Linked DNA regions of Caenorhabditis elegans. The protein of the gene in region 2 purifies or fractionates together with the protein of the main gene of each other region. This does not show direct contact. Each region holds a gene or a part of one and is shown on either strand. Other genes may lie near its edges.

Region 1 (4,135 bases), on a different chromosome or scaffold from region 2:
CGTAACTTCTATTTACGCAAAGCATAAATTCACGTATATTTTCCGAGTCACCGGAAACATGCATTGTGTGCGGTCTTCCTTTACAAACACGACATGGTATTGCACAATAATCGCGCGGTTTTTGCGTGCACAAGTGTATATTTCAATAAAATCTAATCGAACATCTCAAATGTCTCTTCTAAGTTGAGGGGAGGAGGATCGGCTAGCAGGAATAGAAGGAATAGAAGGAAGAATGTCAAAAATATAAACAAATTTCTAACAGATTGTTTGTAGCACAAATGTGCCACTATTCTCTTGGAGGATTCTACGGAAAGTGTTCACTAGTGAGATTTAAAACATGTGGAAATGGAGTGTATCAAAGCATTTGAATCATGCTGGAACAAGTGAGAAAAGTACGAAAATTTCTTGCGTCATGAAAAAGTGAGAACCACATGTTTCGCGAAAGCTTTGGATTTTTTGTTTTCTTTGAGTACAGCATAAAATAAAACTCATAAAATTGTGTTTTCCTCCCACCCAATGTAAACTTTGTTATCAAGAAGCCAGTCAGGGTTTTTAGAATTCTTGCAAACGTATAGAAAGAACTGTTTTAGAACTTCTTATCATCACATAACCACATTTATTACAATCAAGCAAGTAATGGCATAGAAATTGAGTTTTTAAATTAGAAATAGGCTTATTTTCCGGTTCTAGAGGTGGCAAATCCAACTCTCTTGTTTCCATGATCGAAGACCGAGTAGAAGCGTCCGATGAAGACGTCTCCGAGAATCCAGAGTGGTCCGGCTGGGGCTGGAATATCCATTCCCATGAATCCAGAGAGGCAGGTGGATCCTCCGTTTCCGTTGGACATTTGAAGGATGTAGTCCTTTCCTTGAAGATCGAAGTTTTGTCCTCCGAGGTTGAAGGTGATGTTTGGAAGAGATGGAATCTTGCTGCACTCAACTTCGTACTCTCCATTGAAGAGTGGGATTCCTCCGATCTTGTGTTGGATCTTCTTGATGACATCAGTTGGTCCAGTGAGAAGGGAAGTTCCAGTGTCAACAATCGAGTCGATTGGTCCGCTGGTGTAGGTGGTTCCATCGATGACAACCGAAGCGAGCTTGATTCTCCAGTAGTCCTCAGAGACGAGTGGCTCCCAAGCGATGTTTCCGACGTAGTGGTTCGGATCGGTGTCGCAAAGGGTAATTTCTCCTCCGTTGGTGATGTCGTTGGCGTCACGGCTAAGCCAGAAAGCGAATAGTTGATTCTTGCAGATGGCGGAGTTGGCGAAGATTTGGTCCATTGGCTGAGAGATCTTGTTAACAGAGATAGTGTCCCATCCCATTCCGAAGATACCGTCAAACTTGGCAGCGACGAAGGTGATTCCTGGCTCAGAAGTAGCACAGGCCAATCCTTGGTTCTTATCAGTACAGTAGGTGGTATCATGTCCGAACTATAAATATATTTTTCAGCTATATTGTAAATAACATCATAAGATTGACTTACGCAGACAACATCGTTGTCAACGGTTCCCTTCATGGATCCAGTTCCGTATTGGATCTCGAAAGAGGCTCCAGTAGCAGTGCAGGAAGAAGACTTCTTGCAATCAAACTGAAAATTATTTTATTGAAAAAAAGTTGATTTGAATACTTCAAAACTAACTCTGTTGTGCATTCTGCAGGCAATATCTCCGAATGGGCAGTTGGCGCATGGCACCCACAAGTTGGAGGATCCAGTATCGAACAAAACTTGGAAGTTTTGTGGTGGAGTTCCAATGGTCACTGGTCCATAGTATTGAGCATTGGAGTAATCAGAAAGACCCTCGTTGAATGCATCCTTGTTTGGAATGTATCCTGGGACGTACTTGGCCTTAAGATGCTCTTGGATTGATCCGAACTTGTATTGTTCACGAGTGTAAGTGCGCTTCTCGAGCTTGATTCTAAAAAAAGAAGAAACATGATAAATAAATAAAATAAAATAATTTAAATATATGAATGGTATATTAAAAATGTAACTAACCTCTGGATGGCAGAAGCCAAGGCGACAAGAGCCAGAAGAAGGAAAACGCGGCCCGACATGGTGCGTTATCACTAATTGAGAAGCAGCGCTCCGGGTTTCTTTTATATGCGACACAAACTCTTGATGATATAATTGTAAACGTCACAACCGATTTTAGTGATAATTAGTAGAGGAGGTTGGCTGGCTGAAAACGGAATTATTTCCTCTCACCGAGTCAAAAGTTTAGATCGGCTATTAAAGTAGTGTACTTTGTGTGTAAAATGAGGGAAAACCATTAAAAAGTGTCCGGGTTGACAAAATGACTTGCTGACAAGGATCCGGATTTTATAGCGTTCTGTTTGCCAAAAGAACACATTAAACTTTTTCCAGCAAAATCATATGTACTTTCAGCAACAAGTCAACACTGCTTTGTCGTCGTCACACCCTCATCGTCATTCTGATCAAAATAACAATTTCAATGGCCTACAATTCAGATTTGTTCTCCCCTATTAAAATATGACTACACTTTAAAATTAGTTCTAGAAAGTTCCACACGTTAAAAATTTAATCGGCTTATTTTCACAAAATATGAAATCATTATCATTATCGTCAAATTGTCTCACAATTTTCGTTACGAAGTAGATAGGGAATACGAAATCAGAATTTGGACATTGGACTAGATGAAATAAATTGAGAACTGTTGCAGTGGTGGAGCAGGTGTGTATACAATTACTAATAATTTTAGAACCTGAAGTAATTTTTATAAATTTGTTTCATTGAACCAAGTATTGAAGTTTTAAGTAGTAAAACATGTGTTACTATAAATTGGCCGAAAGTTTTTTAACAATATTTTTTGTTGGCTTAAAAACACTTATATTAGTCGTGCATGACCAATAATCATAATATAAATATACATACTTCAAAAACTTTTAGATATATATACTTTTAAGTTGAAATTTTGGAAATTATATTGTTTTCCAGCCACTTCCAGAATTATGATAGGTGAAAACTAAGTTTTCTTGAATTTTCGACTGCACAAAAAATTTAAAAAGTCGTTTGAAAAGTTTCACTATAGTCTTAAACCTTTAAACCACAATTTAAATTTCATTTTCACAACGGCCAATACCCAACCTTTGACAAACTCTGAATTCTAGTTTTTTCAACAAAAAAAAGTGTATAAATGACGAAAATGAAAAAACTTTTTGTAGAATGATAAATTATTTCCCAGCCGCTGTGTCAAGGCTAATTAAACAAAATTGAAGTTTTACCTAGCTCTAGTTTTTTTTAATGATTTTAAAAAGTCTAACTTTGAAAAATTTACAATTTTCTTAATATTTACTCTTTCTTTAACAACTTTTTACCTTTTAGATTAAAAATTGTTCACCCCTTTTCTGAATTTCTGAAAGAGAGACTCTCCTGAAACCAAAATTCCAAATAAAGACATTCATATCACGTTTTCTTTCAAGTATCGTTTTTAATGTATATATTCATTATTTTTATCTTAAAAACATTATTGAGACGACATCAATCAACCCCACCACATCAGTTTATCTCATCAAGTTCATCATGCTCTAAAATATCGTCAACAATGATTTCCCCGGCGGGTCTTGTTGGCAGCTTCCCTCAAACCGCCAACCCAGTTGAGCTGTGTAAAAAGCAAAAGTTTGTGCGGACGGCTCAGCGAGCAGCCGTTGTAAAGGATCTCGTTCCACACATCTCTTTCACACAAAATCTTCACTTAAAATGAAAATTCGTTTACTCGATTTTTCGATATTCTCCATTTTGTTGCTATTTCGAACGTCGAAATCATTCAAAGCTCCTACTCACGTGACTGCAACCAAGGGAAAGTTTTTTGTCCACACTCTCCATTCTGCACACTTTTTCCCGAGCACAGGTGCAAACTATTGATCGTTTTTATCAATTGCTCTTTTATTTTCAGTTAAAGTGAAATGGGAAGCTACGCTAAACAAAAAGCCGGCTCTTCCAAACTGGTTACGTCTCTTACCGTCGCGACACCCGGAAATCGCTTATCTAATAGGTGATCGATTAGTTATTAACACACCAGTACATTCATAAAAATAAAATCATCTTATGATTTTTATCGTAGTTATGTATGTTTCAGGCACACCGGTCACAAATGTGCAGCATGTTACACTACACG
Region 2 (3,686 bases):
TTTTGAACAATTTAATTTCATAGATTTGATTTAAACCGCCTATAACTATAAATGTTTGGAAGTGAATCAGAGCGAATTTCACAAATAATTTCTCGAATAAAGAGCACAGGCTAACTGAAAATCGGCCCAATGACCATTCCGGGCTGTTCTTTTTGTTCGCCAGTTAGCCGTCTGTAGTTTCGATAAGAGGCAGGCGCGGGTTCAAAGTCTGATGGCCTGCCTGACACCTGATCACCGAAAGCGGGCCTCCTCGCTTCAATTCTACAGGCATGAAATCAAAGATTTGGGGTCTACGCAACGCTCACTTTTTGGGTTCAGAGCCATATTATACAAAAGGCGCGGCGCGTGGCAGGCGGAGGTAGCCGCAAGGTGTCCGCAACATGGCAGCCTGCACGGGTTCCCTAGTCCGCGGTTTGTCTGCTGCCGTCAGGCCGGTTTTGAGCAAATCCGCTCCGTCTCCCACCCTTCTCGTAAAAGTTCGACCGGCCAATTTTTTTCAGCCAATTACAGAGATACTGAAAAACGAGGTTATACTTTAAATAATATCATAGCAAATTATAAAATATTTATCATCATTTCATAATATACACATGGAAATCTCCCTGAAGAATTATTTTAAAAAAGTTCCGATAGCAGCCTTAGTTGTGACGAGCCAAGTCTGGAATTCCGGCAACAGCCGAGTGCTCGATTCCACACTCGTTGAGTCCACGAATGATACGGAAGTATCCCTTCTCTCCCCAGGCGACGTTCCACGAGTTGGCGACAAGCCAGTATGGGGTTCCGTTGTCGACTCCCCATCCGAGGATCTTGACGGCGTGTCCTCCGAGGGAGGCTCCGGCGGTGTGTACGTACACTCCAGTGGTGTATTGGTAGAAGTCCTCGTAGACGGTGAAGGCAACCTCGATTGGTCCGTTCGTAAGAATCTCGGTCTGGATTTGCTCGACCTTCTTTCCGACGGCGTAGGCGGTAGATCCTAGAACTTCATAGTGTTAACCAGCGCCGCTTACACGTGTAAACTCACCAAAGTGCTTATCCTGAAGATATGGGGTGGCGTAGTTGTTCTTGGAAGTGCAGGAGTCGACACACTTTGGAGTTGGCTCGGTGTCTTCTGGGCATGCTGGCCACTTGACGCCGTTCACAGTCTCGCCGCATGGAGCGATCGAGTATGGCTTGCATCCGAACTGGGTCTCGTAGGATCCTCCGGTGACGAGACCGTGCTTGACCCACCACTTCCATGCCTGGATTGGGTAACCTCCTTCGCAACTGGAAAAAAATGGTTTTGAAAGCAACTGTGAGTCCATGCCGATCACTGTGTTCTTATCAGCAAGAACTTTCGATTTTGGAGATTAAAACTACGGCGCTAGAGATCATTTTGTCATAAACGGAATTTGTCGATTCTTATCGTTTTTGTGTAGACGCGTAGTTTTCAAATCAGAATCGGAGCCTTACCCATTTCCGCAGCTGAACATTCCGGTGCAGCACGAGAGCAGATCTTCAGATGAGAGCAAAGTGTTAACGGCTCCATTGGAGGCAATGCATGTTCTGTCGGAGATAGCTTCAGCAGCGGCGAACGCCCAGCAGGAACCGCAGTCAGATTGATCTCTAATGTTATTGATGGACATGCAGTTTGGCCATTGATCACGAGCATCGAAGTGGTCTGGAATAGCGTCGGAGACCTCAGTAGCGACAATATCCTCATCCTTGTGTGGCACCAAATACTTAACATCCATCAGCTTCTTGGTGATCTTCTCCTTTGGAATGACTTGATGTCCAGCGGTCCAAAGCTTTTGGGCAGAGTTGACATAGTCGATCAAAGCTTGTCCAGTGAGAGCTGGGGCTTCACGGTGTCCAGGAATCACCACAGCCGAGGCAGCAGCCACGAGAAGAATAGCGGAGAGCTTCCACATTATGAGAGAAGTGTCTGCGAAGGTTCGCGTCTAATGCTCATTAAGTAGTCGGTACGCATCATTCTTATCAGTTAATTTTATCAGTATCTTTTTTAAGAATTAAAAATTAAAAGGAATGTGACGTAAATGAGTCGCGCGCCAAATATACTTTCACTTGTCGGAATAGATCATTGATGTAAACATTTTTTAATACTGTAAAAATTCTAAGGGGATTAGGAATTAGGGATGAGCCTAATACCTAAGCTTAATGCCTAAGCCTAAGCCTGAGCCTAAGCATAAGCATAAGCATAAGCATAAGCAAAAGCATAAGCATAAGCATAAGCGTAAACCAAAGCGTACGCCTAAGCCTAACTCTAAGCCTAAGCCTACGCCTAAGCCTATGCCTAAGCCTAAGCCTAAGCATAAACCTAAGCCGAAGCACAAGCCTAAGCCTAAGAATAAGCTTAAAAGTAGGCATAAGCCTAGTCCAGAATTATTAAAGCAGATTTTATGAAAATCCATGAATTTTAGTAGAGCTGCATAAAATTTACTTTGAAGCAATTTTGTTAATCATTGTTCACCGAATAAGCTCCGCTTGCATTTCTTTTTGGATAATATGATGTAAATTTTCTGAACTTTGCAACTTCAAATCAATGATAAGAAAGCATTGAATCAATCATTTCTAACCCGAAATGCGGAAAATATTGATTTGCCTGATCGGAGTCCTATTTCAAGCCGATGGAGTACCACCTTCAGGTTTTTTTACAAATTGTATTTCTAGATTGAAAGCAATATTTTCAGAAATTGACCGGATAATTCATTATGTGAATTCGCAAAAAACTACTTGGACTGCTGGGATTCCTGCTCTGAGCCGGAATTCTATGCTGAAAACTCTTGTCACAGACGCTGCAACTATAGGATTCAAAATCCAGAATTTCGGGGTGTCACAAGCAAATTCCGATCTATCTCCTTCATTTGATGCGAGAGAACGTTGGCCGGAGTGCATGTCAATTCCACAGATCAACGATATTTCAGAATGTAGTGAGTTTTGCTTTAAATTCCAGAATATGAACGGTAATGGCCTAAATTTTTCAGAGACAAGTTGGGCGTTCGCAGCAGCCGAATCAATGTCTGACAGGCTTTGCATTAATTCCGGAGGATTTAAAAATACCATTTTATCCGCTGAAGAACTTTTGAGTTGTTGCACGGGAATGTTTTCCTGTGGGGAAGGGTGAGGTGTAGTTGCACGTCTCTACAGGTCCAGTGATCCTGTCAAAATTTAGAAGCGGATGGCAGGCAGGCAGGCAAACCTGGAGGCGTGTCTGCCTACCAACAAAAGTTTGCGAAGAAAAGTCTCTATCTTATCAACTTTCAAAATTTTTAAAGCTCGTAAATTTTTCAACATTGAGAAATGTATATTTAATCAATTTTCTTGCGGCGCGTGATGCAAATTTGAGAAAAAAGTGCAACAACTGCAAAATTGTTTGATTAAACGCAGACGTGCTTTTTATTAAAGGTGGAGTAGCGCCAGTGGGGAAAATGTTAAAAACTATTTATATGGTGCCAAAATGACCGAATATCATAATAAAACGTTTCGAAAAATTTTTGAACTTTTTTTATTTACTGTCAGAAAGTGACAATTACTCAGTTTTTGCCACTCATAATTTTGGAAGTCGACCAAAAAAAAAATGTTTTTCCTACATTTTTTATACTTTAATTTTGTTTTAATTATTTATATTATAACATTGTAGGGGTCGAAATATGCGACAATGCTTTGGATTTCCTTAAAAACTCATATTT

Evidence for each region. The genes of interacting proteins can lie anywhere in the genome.
Region 1: the proteins of cpr-5 (region 2) and asp-3 fractionate together in Caenorhabditis elegans (co-fractionation; one large-scale study listed by BioGRID). This does not show direct contact.

Annotation. Positions count from the first base shown.
Region 1 is NC_003284.9:6,789,110-6,793,244, reverse strand, and holds asp-3 (Aspartic protease 3), read right to left. Parts: upstream 2,182-4,135; 5' UTR 2,055-2,181; coding exon 1,996-2,054; intron 1,916-1,995; coding exon 1,639-1,915; intron 1,588-1,638; coding exon 1,483-1,587; intron 1,430-1,482; coding exon 674-1,429; 3' UTR 536-673; downstream 1-535. Other genes in the region: sgca-1 (Dystroglycan-type cadherin-like domain-containing protein), read left to right, coding at 3,718-3,868, 3,914-4,012, 4,097-4,135. UniProt on the Caenorhabditis elegans protein: Aspartic protease. Part of the necrosis cell death pathway. Involved in neuronal cell degeneration. Involved in heat stress response.
Region 2 is NC_003283.11:1,132,048-1,135,733, forward strand, and holds cpr-5 (Cathepsin B-like cysteine proteinase 5), read right to left. Parts: upstream 1,990-3,686; 5' UTR 1,908-1,989; coding exon 1,450-1,907; intron 1,264-1,449; coding exon 1,022-1,263; intron 974-1,021; coding exon 639-973; 3' UTR 551-638; downstream 1-550. Other genes in the region: cpr-8 (Peptidase C1A papain C-terminal domain-containing protein), read left to right, coding at 2,579-2,642, 2,688-2,927, 2,982-3,117.